Cricetulus griseus: one gene and its partner. The main gene of each other region encodes a partner of the protein of the gene in region 2 in a complex. Links are inferred from orthologs where the notes say so. Each region holds a gene or a part of one and is shown on either strand. Other genes may lie near its edges.

The links.
Region 1: Bag3 (region 2) and Hspb8 share a complex: the UniProt entries of both Homo sapiens proteins name them as parts of the chaperone-assisted selective autophagy (CASA) complex. The link is inferred for Cricetulus griseus from reciprocal best matches to the Homo sapiens genes BAG3 and HSPB8.

The regions. Positions count from the first base shown.
Region 1 is NC_048597.1:96,471,719-96,478,449, forward strand, and holds the start of Hspb8 (heat shock protein beta-8), read right to left. Parts: upstream 4,732-6,731; 5' UTR 4,205-4,731; coding exon 3,838-4,204; intron 562-3,837; exon of another isoform or gene 1-561. UniProt on the Homo sapiens protein: Involved in the chaperone-assisted selective autophagy (CASA), a crucial process for protein quality control, particularly in mechanical strained cells and tissues such as muscle. Displays temperature-dependent chaperone activity.
Region 2 is NC_048596.1:72,257,800-72,264,430, forward strand, and holds part of Bag3 (BAG family molecular chaperone regulator 3), read right to left. Parts: intron 2,912-6,631; coding exon 2,582-2,911; intron 757-2,581; coding exon 358-756; intron 1-357. UniProt on the Homo sapiens protein: Co-chaperone and adapter protein that connects different classes of molecular chaperones including heat shock proteins 70 (HSP70s), e.g. HSPA1A/HSP70 or HSPA8/HSC70, and small heat shock proteins (sHSPs), e.g. HSPB8.

The DNA of each region.
Region 1 (6,731 bases), on a different chromosome or scaffold from region 2:
AACGTTTGGTAGGTCAGGCATATTGACCCAGTGCATTTCGGCTTGGGATACTTGGGATTTATGATGGGGTCTCTGGGGCCCTCCTCTCACAGTAAGCCAAGGAGCACCTGTGTAGTCTGGACTTGGTGTCAACCACCCTTCTCAGCAACTCACTTATGCCAACTCCTTTAGGCAGGAACTTTATTACCACCACTGTATGGATAGACAAACTGAAATTCAGAGAGGTTCCTAAGTCTGTGGCCACACCACCCTGAACATGCCCTGTCAGGTGATGTGCCTGAGGCCAAACACCCTGAAAATGACAGAGCAAAGGGTGCCAGAGTCCTGGGAGCAGGATGCCAATCCCTGCTCAGACGTTTCCTGACAGGGCTCTACCCTTCTCTGAGTCTCAGTCTGCTCTTCTCTAAAATGTTCTGAAAATGATGTTACCGGAGCCCTGGGAGAAGCCATGGAGTGAGCCACACAGCCTGTGCAAGTTGCACAGCTGAGCCTTGTCACTCACTTTGACGTTTAGGGAAATGGGGCTCCTCAGAATCCATGTTCTGAAAAGGGGTGCAGGCCAGGGGGAGGGAGGGAGGGTCTCTGGGCAGGAAAGACTCCAAGGTTTCCATAATGAGGGCCTGTGAAAGAGGCGGGTCATCTTGGCATTCATTTGCATAAGTGCATTGCTTATTGGGCATCTGATGTTAAACTAGCATTGCTTCTTGGGCATCTGATGTTAAACATTTATTAGCTTGCTTTCTGATTTATGTCTTATACCATCAGACTGTTTTCCTTTTTGTACACAGAAGAAAGAAATGATGACTGTTTGTACAGAAAGACCTCTGCCAATCCCAGGACAGAACAGATCTCTTGCAACTGTGACATTTCTCAGGTGTCCTAAAGAGCTGTGGCTGCACTATGGGGCAGAGTTGTGAGAAGACCCATCAAGGAAAGGTGCTGTTTCCAGGGAGAGGAGAAGCCCTGGGACCAAGGCAAAACCTTTCCAGTCTTTCCTTAACCAAGGCCTGGCCCAGAAGGGATCATTCTTGGCTGGTGGCTGCAGGGTAGGGGTAGGGGAAGGTGATTCGTGATGGAAATCATGAACCCACATTTTCCAAACACTTTCCTGGAGCGGGGTCTTCCTACATGGTCAGATAAGATGGGGCTGACTCTTAATATCTGTAAACTGTATGGACAAGGGGAGGCTCTGAGAAGCCCTGCAATGAGGCAGAGGCTTACTTATGATTCTGGCTCATCGGGCATCATCTGCAATTCAGAACAACCTTTCATCCATTCCCTAGACACCCGGAAGCAGATGATGAGGCAAATCTGACCTAGCCCCCTTCTTTGTGAGGCAGCATTGATGCTGAGTTCCAGGATTGAGGGTGGGAAGTCTAAACAGCTTCACAGTCAGAACTAGAGTCAGTCAGTGAACCTCTAGGCCGGGACTATCTTTAAAATATTATATACTGCCAGAGAGGAAGTAGGTGGTTGGTCGTGCTGGGTGAGTTAGCCTCTGTAGGCCTGCCTCAGTTTCACTATCTGTAAAATGGGCAGGGGTGATGTTACATACCTACCCACACTTCTAAAAAGCATCATGAGTAACCTCCCAGTAAGCCAATCCGAGTGGTCAGTGAGCAAAGGTCTGGTCTGAACTGCTTGTGCTTATTGCATGATGTAGGTAGGATACTGACTCTGCTCCCTGGCTCCCCTTTAAAAGCTGCTTTTGCAGGGAGCCCCAGACCTTAGTTCTTAAACTCCTATCAGGGAAGAAAACTTTTGCATGCACCTTCAGTGGGTTTGAAGTCTGTATAGCTGGGGCTGCAATTAGCTGCACAAGTACAGGATTTATCTTTTTGTCTTAGTTCCAGTGTTCCCATTTCACAGACAGAGACAGTGAGGCTCTGTGATACACCCCCAAGCCTCTGGATCACTAGGGTTCCTACTTGAGATCTCAGCTGGTGGCTGCCAGACTCCACCTGTTAAGGAGTACCTTCAGATAAGGCTTCAGGGTGTGGGCGATCTGGAAGCCTCTGCATTAAACAACCGTCATTAAAACTGAACAAGGGTGGGGTGGTGATGACCTCAATCTGCAGGATGCTGTACTAACTCCATTTTACAGATGTTCTGGACTTATCTTCTGCATTTACTACATCTTCCCACTAGCCTCATGTGACAGGAATGACCATAATTCCCATTGCACAGACAGGGAAACTGAGGCTCCTAGTTGGTATCCATTTGGCTACCTCACAGCCTGGTTGGAATTTGAACCTAGGTCTCATAGTGTTTATCATTTATTATCTACTGGGACCTCCCTACATGCCCACACCATGGCTACCGCTGTATTTCTGTTTACAAAAACAAACTTAATATCCATGCACCCACTATATAAATATTGCCCTGTTGGAAGCTACCTCCACCCTTCCTGAGGACCAGTGGAGACCTCCATGTCCAAAAAGGAACAAGACAGCTGAAGAATAGCCCGTCCTGTTGGTTAGCCAGCAGCCGAGCTAGTGTTGGCTCACCAGCCAGTGCCGAGCCCACACCCACGTCAGCACGTGCCCCGGTGTGCCTGCCCCACCACACCCACACTCACAACCTTTGATGTTCACAATTCTATTCCAAGTGACTTTAATCCACCCCCACCCTCCAGGCCCCCTTGAACACTGCTGGGGCTTGTCTCTGCTCAGCTAGTGCTTACAGCAGGCTTGCTATTGATTTTCTGGCTTCAGGCCCCTGCCAGGAACAAGTTCTTTTTAATGGCCTGTTAATTGGAAGGGAGGCAGAAAGCTGAGGCCCATCTCACCAGGGGCCAGGCTTCCTGTCTCCTCTGTCTTTTCCCCCCAGCGGATTCGTTCTCCCAGAGTGCAATGGGGTAGGGAAAGCCCTGGGCCTGACGCTGTGGCCAGGCCTAAGCTCTGCTCTGGTCCTTTTGCTGACTCACTGGATGACCTGGGACAAGGCCTCCTCAGCTGCAAGATGGGAGTAGATAGTCAGGGGATGAAGGGTCACAGGAAGTTGATTTTTAACTGGTTTTTCTTGTTGTTGCTGGTGCTGGTGGTAGTAGGGTTAATTTGTGTGTTTTTATAACTCAGCTTAGAAACTTGGCTCAAACGAATAAATAAATAAGCAAACAAATAAATAAATAGATGGCTAGATAGATCCCTTCTGTCCCTCAGTTCCCAAGGCAGCCTGGGTTGGAACCCTTTGCTACCTTGAGCAAATTATGCTAGACTCTGCTGACCTCCATTTCCTAAGTCCAAAGGGGACAGGTGGACAGTTAATGCAGCCACCTCCTCTGGCTATATTAACACAGGTGCTACCTGATGCTGGGTTTCTGGCTTCTGGTACCAGGCAGACACCTCTTTACCAAGGTTAGCAGCTGTAGTGCTGTCATAACCATCCAGCCTCAGTTTCCTACTCTTGTTGATAGCATGGCGACTCAGCATTCATCCTGCCCCACTCCCCCGACCCCAGTGTTGTGGCTTTGGGGTATGGTAACCCCTGTTCCTGTGTCTTCAGAAGTCCTCCACGAATCAATCTATTCTTCATATTAAACTGTCTACTTCAAAATTGCCAATCTGGTCCCTGCCAGTTCTCTCAGGTGGGCACCATGCCCTGAGGACCCCAGCTACTGGGTCACATTCATTCTCTTTCTGTCCCCCATTGAGAAGCACGTGTCTCTAATGATAACATTGTGGGCTGCATTCCTGAGACCTGAGGTCACCTGTGCCACGTTGTCTGTCACAGGTCCCTTTTACTGAAGTTGCGTCTAGGTTGAACACACACACACACACACACACACACACACACACACACACACACACACGCCCTGGCTGTCTGTCCCTCACTCACCTGACACCTCTACGTATCCATCCTTGGTCTTCACCATCAGCTCTTCAGGTTTGAAGCTGTGCACGTTGACACACACTTTCCAGGGCTCCCCGGGGAAGGGTGGGGGGCTCCTGCCCTCAGCAGGCACTCCAAACCTGGCTGTGGCTGTAGGCCCCCGGGGCACCATGCCGGATCTTAGGGTTCCGGGCCAGGCAGATGAGAGCCGAGGCAAAGCCCAATCAGGCCAAGGGGCTGTCAAGTCATCTGGGAAGGGGTCCATGCCAAAGCCATCGTCCAGCAGGCGGGAAGAGAGCGGTGAGTCCCGGAAGGGGTCTCTGCGCAAGCGGCTTGGGTAGGAGCACGGGAAAGGCAACTGCCCATCAGCCATGGTGTCTGCTGAGCTGAGGGGAAATAGAGGCTCAGAGAGACAGAGCCACCTACCCAAGATCACACAGCAAGGTGATGTGGCTTGAGATGGTTTTCAGAGTTTAGTCCTCCGCTTCAGAAAATTCTGATCTTCTGTTAGCCACAAGCCCAACCATCCGCTGCCCAGAAGGGAGCTGGGATCCTGGCTCACAAATGTGACCCACCAAGCAGGCCCAGCAGAATCCCAAAGGGCCTCTGTCTGTCCCACCTCACCAGGCTATCAGCAAGTCACCCGCCTCCCAGGCTTCCCAGGCTCCCAGCCAGGGCCGCTGCTGAGGTCTTGAGCACAGCCAGGAGTTTAATAAACCTCAGGGACGTGCGCCTAGAAACTTCTCCTGGCTTCTGGGCTGGGAGCCTTGTATTTATTTGCTGCTGGGGGCTGGGGGCGGGTTTTGCAAGCACCTCCTGTCCCAGGAGTATTCGAAGGTGATGAACCAGCCCCTGAGAATCCGCTGAGAGAACAACTGGGCTCCGGGAGCGGGTGGAGAGCTGGGAGGGGCCGTGGCGTCCGAGTCTAGCCAGCCTCTCCCGCACTCTCTCCTCCCCGTACTCAGCTCCGCCCCGCCCTCCCTCTGACTCCAGCAGCGTCCACTCCAGGCACTAGTGTCCCACAGGGCACTAAAGCCAGACTATTAATAACCCTCCGCCTGGCTGAGTGTTCAGGTCATACTCTGGAAATACCATCCCCAGAACATGTTCTATCTTGCCTCCCACCCTGGGGACCCACAGAAGAAGAGAGACATCGGCCCATTAGATTGAAAAGTAGATGGAATCCCCACTTACAGTTTGACCAAAGGTATCTCCGACTTCTGAGAGTGACCAACAACAACATATCATGATTTTTCTTTAATGACACTTGTTAAGTCATATAAAAAAAAAAAACCTGACAGAGTGTCTATTGGGATAGGAAGGTCTTGGAGCAAGAGAAGAAATTGGGCTCAACTCCCAACACTGCCTGGAGGCAGAATGGGGGTCAATGTATGAGAAATGACTGAGGGGGATCCAGGGGTCTGAGGGATTCTGGATAAACTGACCTAACTGCATTCCTCTAAGGATAGGCTGGGGTGGCCAGACCTCACCTGAAAACTAGAAGAGGAAAAGCAATTGATCTGGCATGGGGGTGGAGGGGTGGTCATATAGGGAACCGTGGGGGTTGTGGCTAAACTGACATGTTCTTGTTAAAAGTAGGTGAAGGCAATGAACGCCTGGCCCTCCCTCTGAGGAGGAGTCTGGCTGACGTTTGGTCAAGGGAAGAGTGTTGCTCAGTGGTAACATTACTCCCAGGCATGCCTGAGCTGCTTGTTTCCCACCTGCGAAATGGGCAGGAGAGGAGCCTACTTGGGGATGCGTCATCAGGAATGCATGATGTCACATACTTGGTAGAAGGATCTGTGTTCATAGGCTTTCAACTTTCAACTTATCAGTTGTGTAATGTTTTCTCTTAAGCACTTCATAAACATTAGCCGGTGGAACCTCCCCCACCCACCACCACACAGATAGCTAAGGGCTCTACTACTGTCCTGTTTGGCAGCAGAGCAAACCATCATAAGTCATAACTTTTTAAAAAACTTTTATTGATTGACTGTGGTACTGGAGGCAGAACTCAGCCTTACACAAGCTGGATAGCTGCATCCTAACCCTCTCCTTCCATAAAATCACTTTATTGTGATGGGTTCACAAATAAAGACATCGCACAGCTGGTTTAAGCTAGCCACCTGGACACCTGCCCTGTCCCCATCTCAGAGTGAACCTCTATACAGATGGCCGTGCCCAAGTACTGGAGCTTCATGTTTTATGTCCTCACTCACTCAGTTACATTTCTAGTCACATATCCACCACACAGAACAAACAACAACAAAACAGTCACAAACTATTGCTTTCTAGCCTCTTTCATGACTCGTGTGTCCTTTTCTTGCATTCCTTCTCTATCACCTAATAAGTCCCCTCTTGGTGTCCTTTCTAAAGGTTACTATGTTGTCCTACTATGATATCCCTCATATGGGATCTTAGTCTGTAATATATATATATATATACACACACACACACACACACACACACACACACACATATATATATATATATATATATATTTACACACACACACACACACAAAGGTAGAGAAGCAGGTAGAGAAACCCTTTTACTTCCTTATTCTTTGTTTTCAAATAGCATCTCATTAATCTACCTAGGCTGGCCGTGAACTCACTCTCAGCCTACTCTACCTGTGAGCTTCATGCTTCAGCCTCCTGAGCATCTTGGATTACAGGCCAGCACCACCAGGCTGGGTTTATATTTTTATCCTAAGTAACAGTAATAACTGCCTGGATGTACTATTCTCCAGATGGCATATTAGTTCTGAAACTCCCAATCCAGGAAGAACCATTTCTAGAACTCTCTGCTCCAAGTTTCTAGAATTCCTTGTTCCCCCAGACCTCTGGGAGAATGGATTTACAAATCTTCTTTTAGCCTTGGGTTTGGGGTTCCAGTCT
Region 2 (6,631 bases):
AGGGGGGAACACACTGTGGTTGGGGTGTGAAGGGGGCATGGGGAGACCAGGAAAGGTGTGGTGAGCATTAAGGAACGAGATCCTAGGAGTCGAGAGTGACAACACCGAGTGCCAGCATTACCAAGCTCTCTCCTCTGCCCCTAGAGTGACTGGCTGCAATGGGAAGCAATCAGCTGAGCAAAAGCTGTGGAAAGTACTGACGAGGCAACCACTCCTGTCCTGTGTTTTCATCAAGGACCAGCAACTTCTAGAATTCTGCTTTTCTCTGGCTGTGCCTACGCTGACTAGGCAGCACGGCTGAAGAACCCCTCGGCCTGCTACAGCCCTCTGAATTTCTGCCCGCCACCTACTCCATACCTGAGGCCTGTCAACCACGGTGTGCACACGGATGGGTGATGGGGAGTGAACTGGTGTGCCGCTTCTGGCTGGAGAGCCTTCCCGGCTGGATGCACCTCGAACCGGTGACCTGAATGGGGATGCTGCCCGAAGAGGCCGGGGCTCCCAGTCATCCCCCTGGATCTTGTGGTAGACAGGCTGGTGGGTCTGGTATTCACCCTGCTGAGCTGGGTAGTGGGTCTTCTGGGCTTGGTGGAAGGAGGGCTGGGCTGCTGGCCGGGTGATGTTCTGCTCATGTATCACAGGGATGGGGATGTAGCCCCGGGGGAGCTGATGGCTACCCAGACTGCTCCTGCAGGAGGGCAGGCTGGCTGAGGAGGATGAGGATGAGCAATCTGAGGCAGCTGGAGACTGAGACCGCTGAAAGAAACAAAGGGCAGAGCATGGTACCATTAATGACCCTGCTGCTGTCCTGGCACTCCATCAGGTACCACCTGGCCAGGACAACACATTTCTCAAAGCCTTCCTGCTATAAACATTTCCACTTTCAAAATGTGAGGATAAGGGCTAAGCCTTCATGTGTCCCTTTGTGAGGGAGTACCACTTCACTTATCATATTGCTATCGAGACCAAGAAGGCTGGGGATGTAGCTCACTGGGAGAGCACTTGCCTAGCACCCACAAGGCTCCCAGACCTTGGACATGAAAAGGCCTGGGTTCAAACACCTGGAAGCTCAACAGTTCTCTGAGCCTCACCTGAACTATGGGAAAAGGCTAGGCTGCCTGCTCACCTCACTGGGATGCTTTAGGGATTACTGAATAGTCTATGCACTTGCCTCAGCAGGCAGCAGTGTGCACAGGAAGGGCGTGGCCCAATATCTGGTTGCTATGTCCTCACTTCCTCCTAACCTCTCATTGGAGAACACTGTGGAGCATCTGGGAGCTGCCTGTGTCTGGGTGCAGGTCAGGTCCCTTTCTCTTCTAATCGACCCCTCCCATCATCTAGAAAGTGAAGAAGATGGCTCTAAAATTTTCTAACATCTCTGACCAATGTACTATGTTGACTTATATACTGCATAAACTTTACAAACCTAGCAACCTCATCTCCAAGGAAGGAGAGACCTCCAGTATCCCAACATCAACTAATACTTTTCACCCCAGGCTGGTGAAGGTGAGCAAATATAGGGGTGGAGAGGCAATCAGGATGCCAGGGAATTGGGATACAAGCAGGAAATGGGGGCTTATACTCAAGAACAATGCCAAAGCCCCAGGGGATGAGCTGAAGACAGAAGGACCAAGAGGGCTTACCTGCTTAGGAACCCTACCAGGTCTGCTGGCCACAAATCTCAGCTCAGAGCTGGATGAACTATATTCTTGAGCTATTAACATGCCTTGCAGTGCTGAGCTCCAGGGCTCAAGCCCAAGTCTAAAGCTGTTGCCCTTCTGACTTAAGCTGTGTTTTCCTTTAGGGGCACACTCTTAAGACAGAGACGCCGGCCTGACTTCATAGGTCCCAGCAGAGGTCCAAGTGGTTGGTGTGTATATGGAAGGACTGAACAGAATAACTTAGGGCTCTCTGAAACAGAGAGCCCAGTGTGACTAGAAAGCTCTGACCCAGGAGGCCAGGCAGCTGCTCCCAGCTTTGTTGCCTCTACCTCTCTGCATTTTGACCATGCAGCTGCCACCTGGGCGCCAATTCTTTTACTACAAAAATAAGCTGGGCCACCTGAAAAACACAGGTGTAAGACGGGAACAATATGAGGCTGCCAAACTGTCTCTGCAATGAAGAACCATTGATGCAGCAGGCGGGGCCCAGAGCCCTACGTACTACCAGGTATCTGGCTCAGCATGAGCCAGGTCTGATGGGGGAAGTACTTCTGTGTATGTTTATCTTATTGATTATTGAATAAAGTACTGTTTGGCCAATGAGACAGCAAGGACTAGGAGTCAAAGGGGATTCTGGGAAATGTAGTAGAGAAGTGGTGATCCAGGCAGGAAGTGACATAGCAAGGAGAAACAGGAAGTGTCCTTTTTCCCCTCCGCTCTTCTTCCAGTGGCACAATGTGATCCACTGGCAAGGAGGGACACCAATGGAAGGTGTCCGATAAGATAACTCTTATAAAATAGATTTATGATAATTAAGACTGAGCTAAGAGATGAGAATCCTAGTCATTGGCTATGCAGCATTTGTACCTAATATGTCTCTGTATTATTTTGTCCATCCACGAGGCGGGTAGGTCTCTTACCTCAGGTCCATGGGCAGCCGAGGGCTGAGCTGCAGCAGCTGTGGGTACCTGTGCACACTGTTTATCTGGCTGGGTAGTCTCTGTCATGCCACCACGCAAAGGGGACTGGGACCTCTGAGGAGCAGCCGCTGCTGCCTCTGTTCGAAATCGCTGCACTCCAGGCTGGGAGTAGGCATGGTAAAGGTGTGGTGGCCGATTTTCAGTGCCTTCATGGAGGACAGGAATGGGAATGTAGCCCGGCCGGAGCTGGGGGTATATGGAGTGGCCTTCCCTAGTGGGCAGCAGCCTGGAGCCTTCACGAGAAGGGCCATTGGCAGAGGATGCAGTTTCCTAAGATAAAGTTAGGAGAAACAAAGACTGGTTAAAAACAGAGTGGACAAGCCGGGCTGTGGTGGCACATACCTTTAATCCCAGCACTTGGGAGGCTGAGGCAGGCGGATCTCTGTGAGTTCGTGACCAGTCTGGTCTACAGAGCGAGTTCCAGGACAGCCTCCAAAGCTACACAGAAAAACCCTGTCTCAAAAAACCAAGAACAACAACAACAACAACAAACAACAACAACAAAAAAAGAAAGAAAAGGAAGGAAGGAAGGAAGGAAGGAAGGAAGGAAGGAAGGAAGGAAGGAACAGGGCAGAAAGCCCCATGAGAGGGAACAGTGGTATCAAAGGCTCTGATCCTCCGGAGTGACTTGGGCTTCACAGGTCAGACAGGCTAGCCGATCACAGGGTGCCACACTGGTTCCACTGGCTCTGCTTTTTCTAGATTCCCAGAGAATGCTATGCAACCAACAGTGATTTAGGGGTACTGAGGCAGACTTTGGTGGCGCAAGCCTTTAATCCCAGCACTCGGGAGGCAGAGGCAGGCAGATCTCTGAGTTCGAGGACAGCCTGGTCTCCAGAGCGAGTGCCAGGATAGACTCCAAAGCTACACAGAGAAACCCTGTCCCAACCCCCCCATCCCCCCCAAAAAAGATTTAGGGGTGTTGGGAATGGTAGTGTATGACTTGACTCCCAGGACTTGAGAGGCAGAGCGAGATTTCTGACTTTGAGGCCATCCTGGTCTACATAATGAATTGCAGGCTAACCAGGGCTATATAATTAAACCTGTCTCAGGAGAAAAAAATAAAGATGAACTGCATCTGTAAGTCAAAATATGAGTTTGAAGCACAAGAGGGGAGTTATGATAACCAACATTATGATAAAGTGAGAGGGACCCTGGTGGATTCCATGGTTGGTGAGGTTGACTGAGGCAAGGACAAACACACCAGGCAGACACAGCTTAGTGAGAAGTTTTATTAGATAGGGAAGGGGTGGGGGTGGGGGAGGGAGGAGAAGGAAAGAGAAAAGAGGTAAAGACACACACTGACTAGAGAGGACAAAAGAGGGAGACAGGACAAGTCCTGTTTGCCCCAGGGGAACAGCAGGAAAGACAGAGAAAGAGTGTAAGTGGGTGGGAGTCTTCTTTTAAAGGGTCCTTTGCACCTGCATGCAGACTATGCAATCATGGAACCCTGGGCTGACCATGGTACTGCCTGAGTGCATTCTGCCAGGTGATAGGGGCAGGCCAACATAATGCCTGAATCCTTACAAGGGGTCTCACTCTCCCAGTGGGGAGACAGGTTTTTTTTTTTTTCTTTTTTCCTGGGTGACAGCAAGGCAGCAGTGTAGGACAGGAGACAGCAGCTATCTAACTACACCTGCCAATCTTCAGAGGCCGAAACCAGGAGGTGATCCCAGGAAGACTCAACTCTAACTACTGGAGTGCACCAAAACTTCTCAGCTTTGAATAAAGCTCTCACGTTTCCCAACCACACAGTTTGTATTTGATCCAAACACAGAACATAACTTAAAAGTCTTTCTGGAGAAGCATTATGTTTGTGTGCGTTTCAGGGGCTAGCTCCTTGGAAATATTTTTAGAACAAGCTGCAAGAAAGGGAGATACACAGGCATGCAGAAGTGCTGCAAGAAGAGAACAAAACCTGGGGATTAATTGTGCCAGTCTCATAAGGCCAACTCATAGGAGTCTGCCTGGCTAGACTTTAGAGCAAGGCTACGGAACTTTCTCCTAGCCTGTCTGTGCAGTTCCTTGTAAAATCCAGTTACTGCAAAAGAACAGCTGAGCCACATCACCAGAACCCCTCCTTCCTAGCCTACCACTGTGGCTATCTGGTCAGGTTCCCAGCTCTACCCTATCTCCAGTCCTCCCCAGGAGACAGATGTCTGATCACCTTGGCTTGTGAGAACCCTGCCAAGTGAGCTTAATCAGAATCCCCTTTGCCTTTGAACAGCTTTCTCCTTTGAGTGATTTTCTATCCACACGCCCGGCCCTGTGCCTTGTCTGTGCTCAGCTGCACTCATCTCTCCCCACGGCAACAGCAGCATCTCTATCTCAGTTGTCCCAATAAATTTTCCTTGTCATGCTTTAACAAGTACCATAGAACATTTTCCCCCTTCAATACAGTAAATCCTGTTTGGGCCAAGAGCAGTTGGGGGTCCTTCTCATGTCCTCTCACAAAGTTGTCCCTTTAGAGGCCTGGCTATTTTGGGACCCTTGAGAAGGCCAAGTTCCAGATGTACAGAGCTCTGGGGGAAGATCTTATTTCAGACACCGAGGCCAGCTATCCACTCACTGGGCAATGACATCTCTCTCTAATCAGCGGCTGTGCAACTTAGCCTCCAACCGTCTCCTAAGCAGAAGAGTCCTTCCACAGATCAGGGGAGCTGTGCTGTGTCACTTGCACATATCCAAGTAGGTCAGTATTTGGGAGAGTAAGCCTTCCTCAGCGAGATAGGTCTCTGAATAGCAAACAAACGTCAAAAGCTGGGAATCGGAATTCAGAGTGTAACTTCTACAGCTACAGAACTGGGCAAAAGCTAAGGACAGATAAGCTAAGGACAGTTGACTTGCATTTTGAATGAAAAGGCCATTAATTCTGTCATGTTTTATATTTATATACAAGTCTGGACACCAGGTGGCTGGCCCTGGAATGTGGCCCTTTCAAGCTCACCCACTGCCTCTCACCTGCTGAGACCTTGCCCCTGAAGGGCCTCCCAAGTACAGAAAAGGCAAGGGTGTCACTGTGTCCTTGGGGAGAGGGGTAGACAGGCACTTGGTACTCTCAGATTAGAATACCCACGTGCTCAGGACACCAGCATTATTTTAGCCTGCTTAACTCTCAGGTCACCCAAGAGCTGGGAGTAGATCCAGGCCTCACAGATAGAACCCAATTCTCTGGCCTTGAGGCATGCACCATTGGAAGCTGGCAGGACACAACCCAGAATCCTGCATTTTCAACACATTTTCTGAGTAATGTGTTCACTCACTCAGAAGGGACAGCCACCCTTCTTTGCAGTTGAAATCAGATTTTGCATAGCCCTGTCATGTTTTGGGGGACTGCCTGTGACATTGTTTCTTCTGGCATGAAGAGTCTCAGCTACTACCTACTCCTTAGAGCCAGGCAGCTTAGCAAGCCCGAGCTAGCCTCATCTAAAACTTCCAGTGGACATCAAGCCACCACTCAGATGAGCCTCAGCAGTCATCAAACCAACAAGATAGGACCCTTGCAAATAAGGATTTATAAGACAAGCAAAAGGGCTGGGGACATAGCTTGCTTGATAGAGTGCTGGCCTAGCATGCAGGAAATTCTGGATTCAATCGAGTCATAAAACCAGGTACAGTGGTGCACACTTATAATCCCAGCACTTGGGAGGTAGAGGCAGGAGGGCCACAAGTTCAAGGTCATCTCCAACTACATACTGAGTTTGAGATCAGCCTGGACTTCATGAGAGCCTGTTAAAAAACTAGATATGTGAATGCATGAAACAAAAGGAACCATGTCTACCTGAAAAGCAGGGGTGGCTGAGGTATAAGGAACATGTGGGGTTTCCCCACAGTGGGGGCCAGCCTCGCTAGGAGCCAAGCTCATTTCTGCCACCACTAGTCAACAGTCCAGTGAGCGCGGAGAATTCTCTTTCCCCTGTAAGCCTTCATTTCCCTTTCTATAAAACAAAGCAGGTAACAAGCGCCCTACATAACTACAGTGAGTTCATT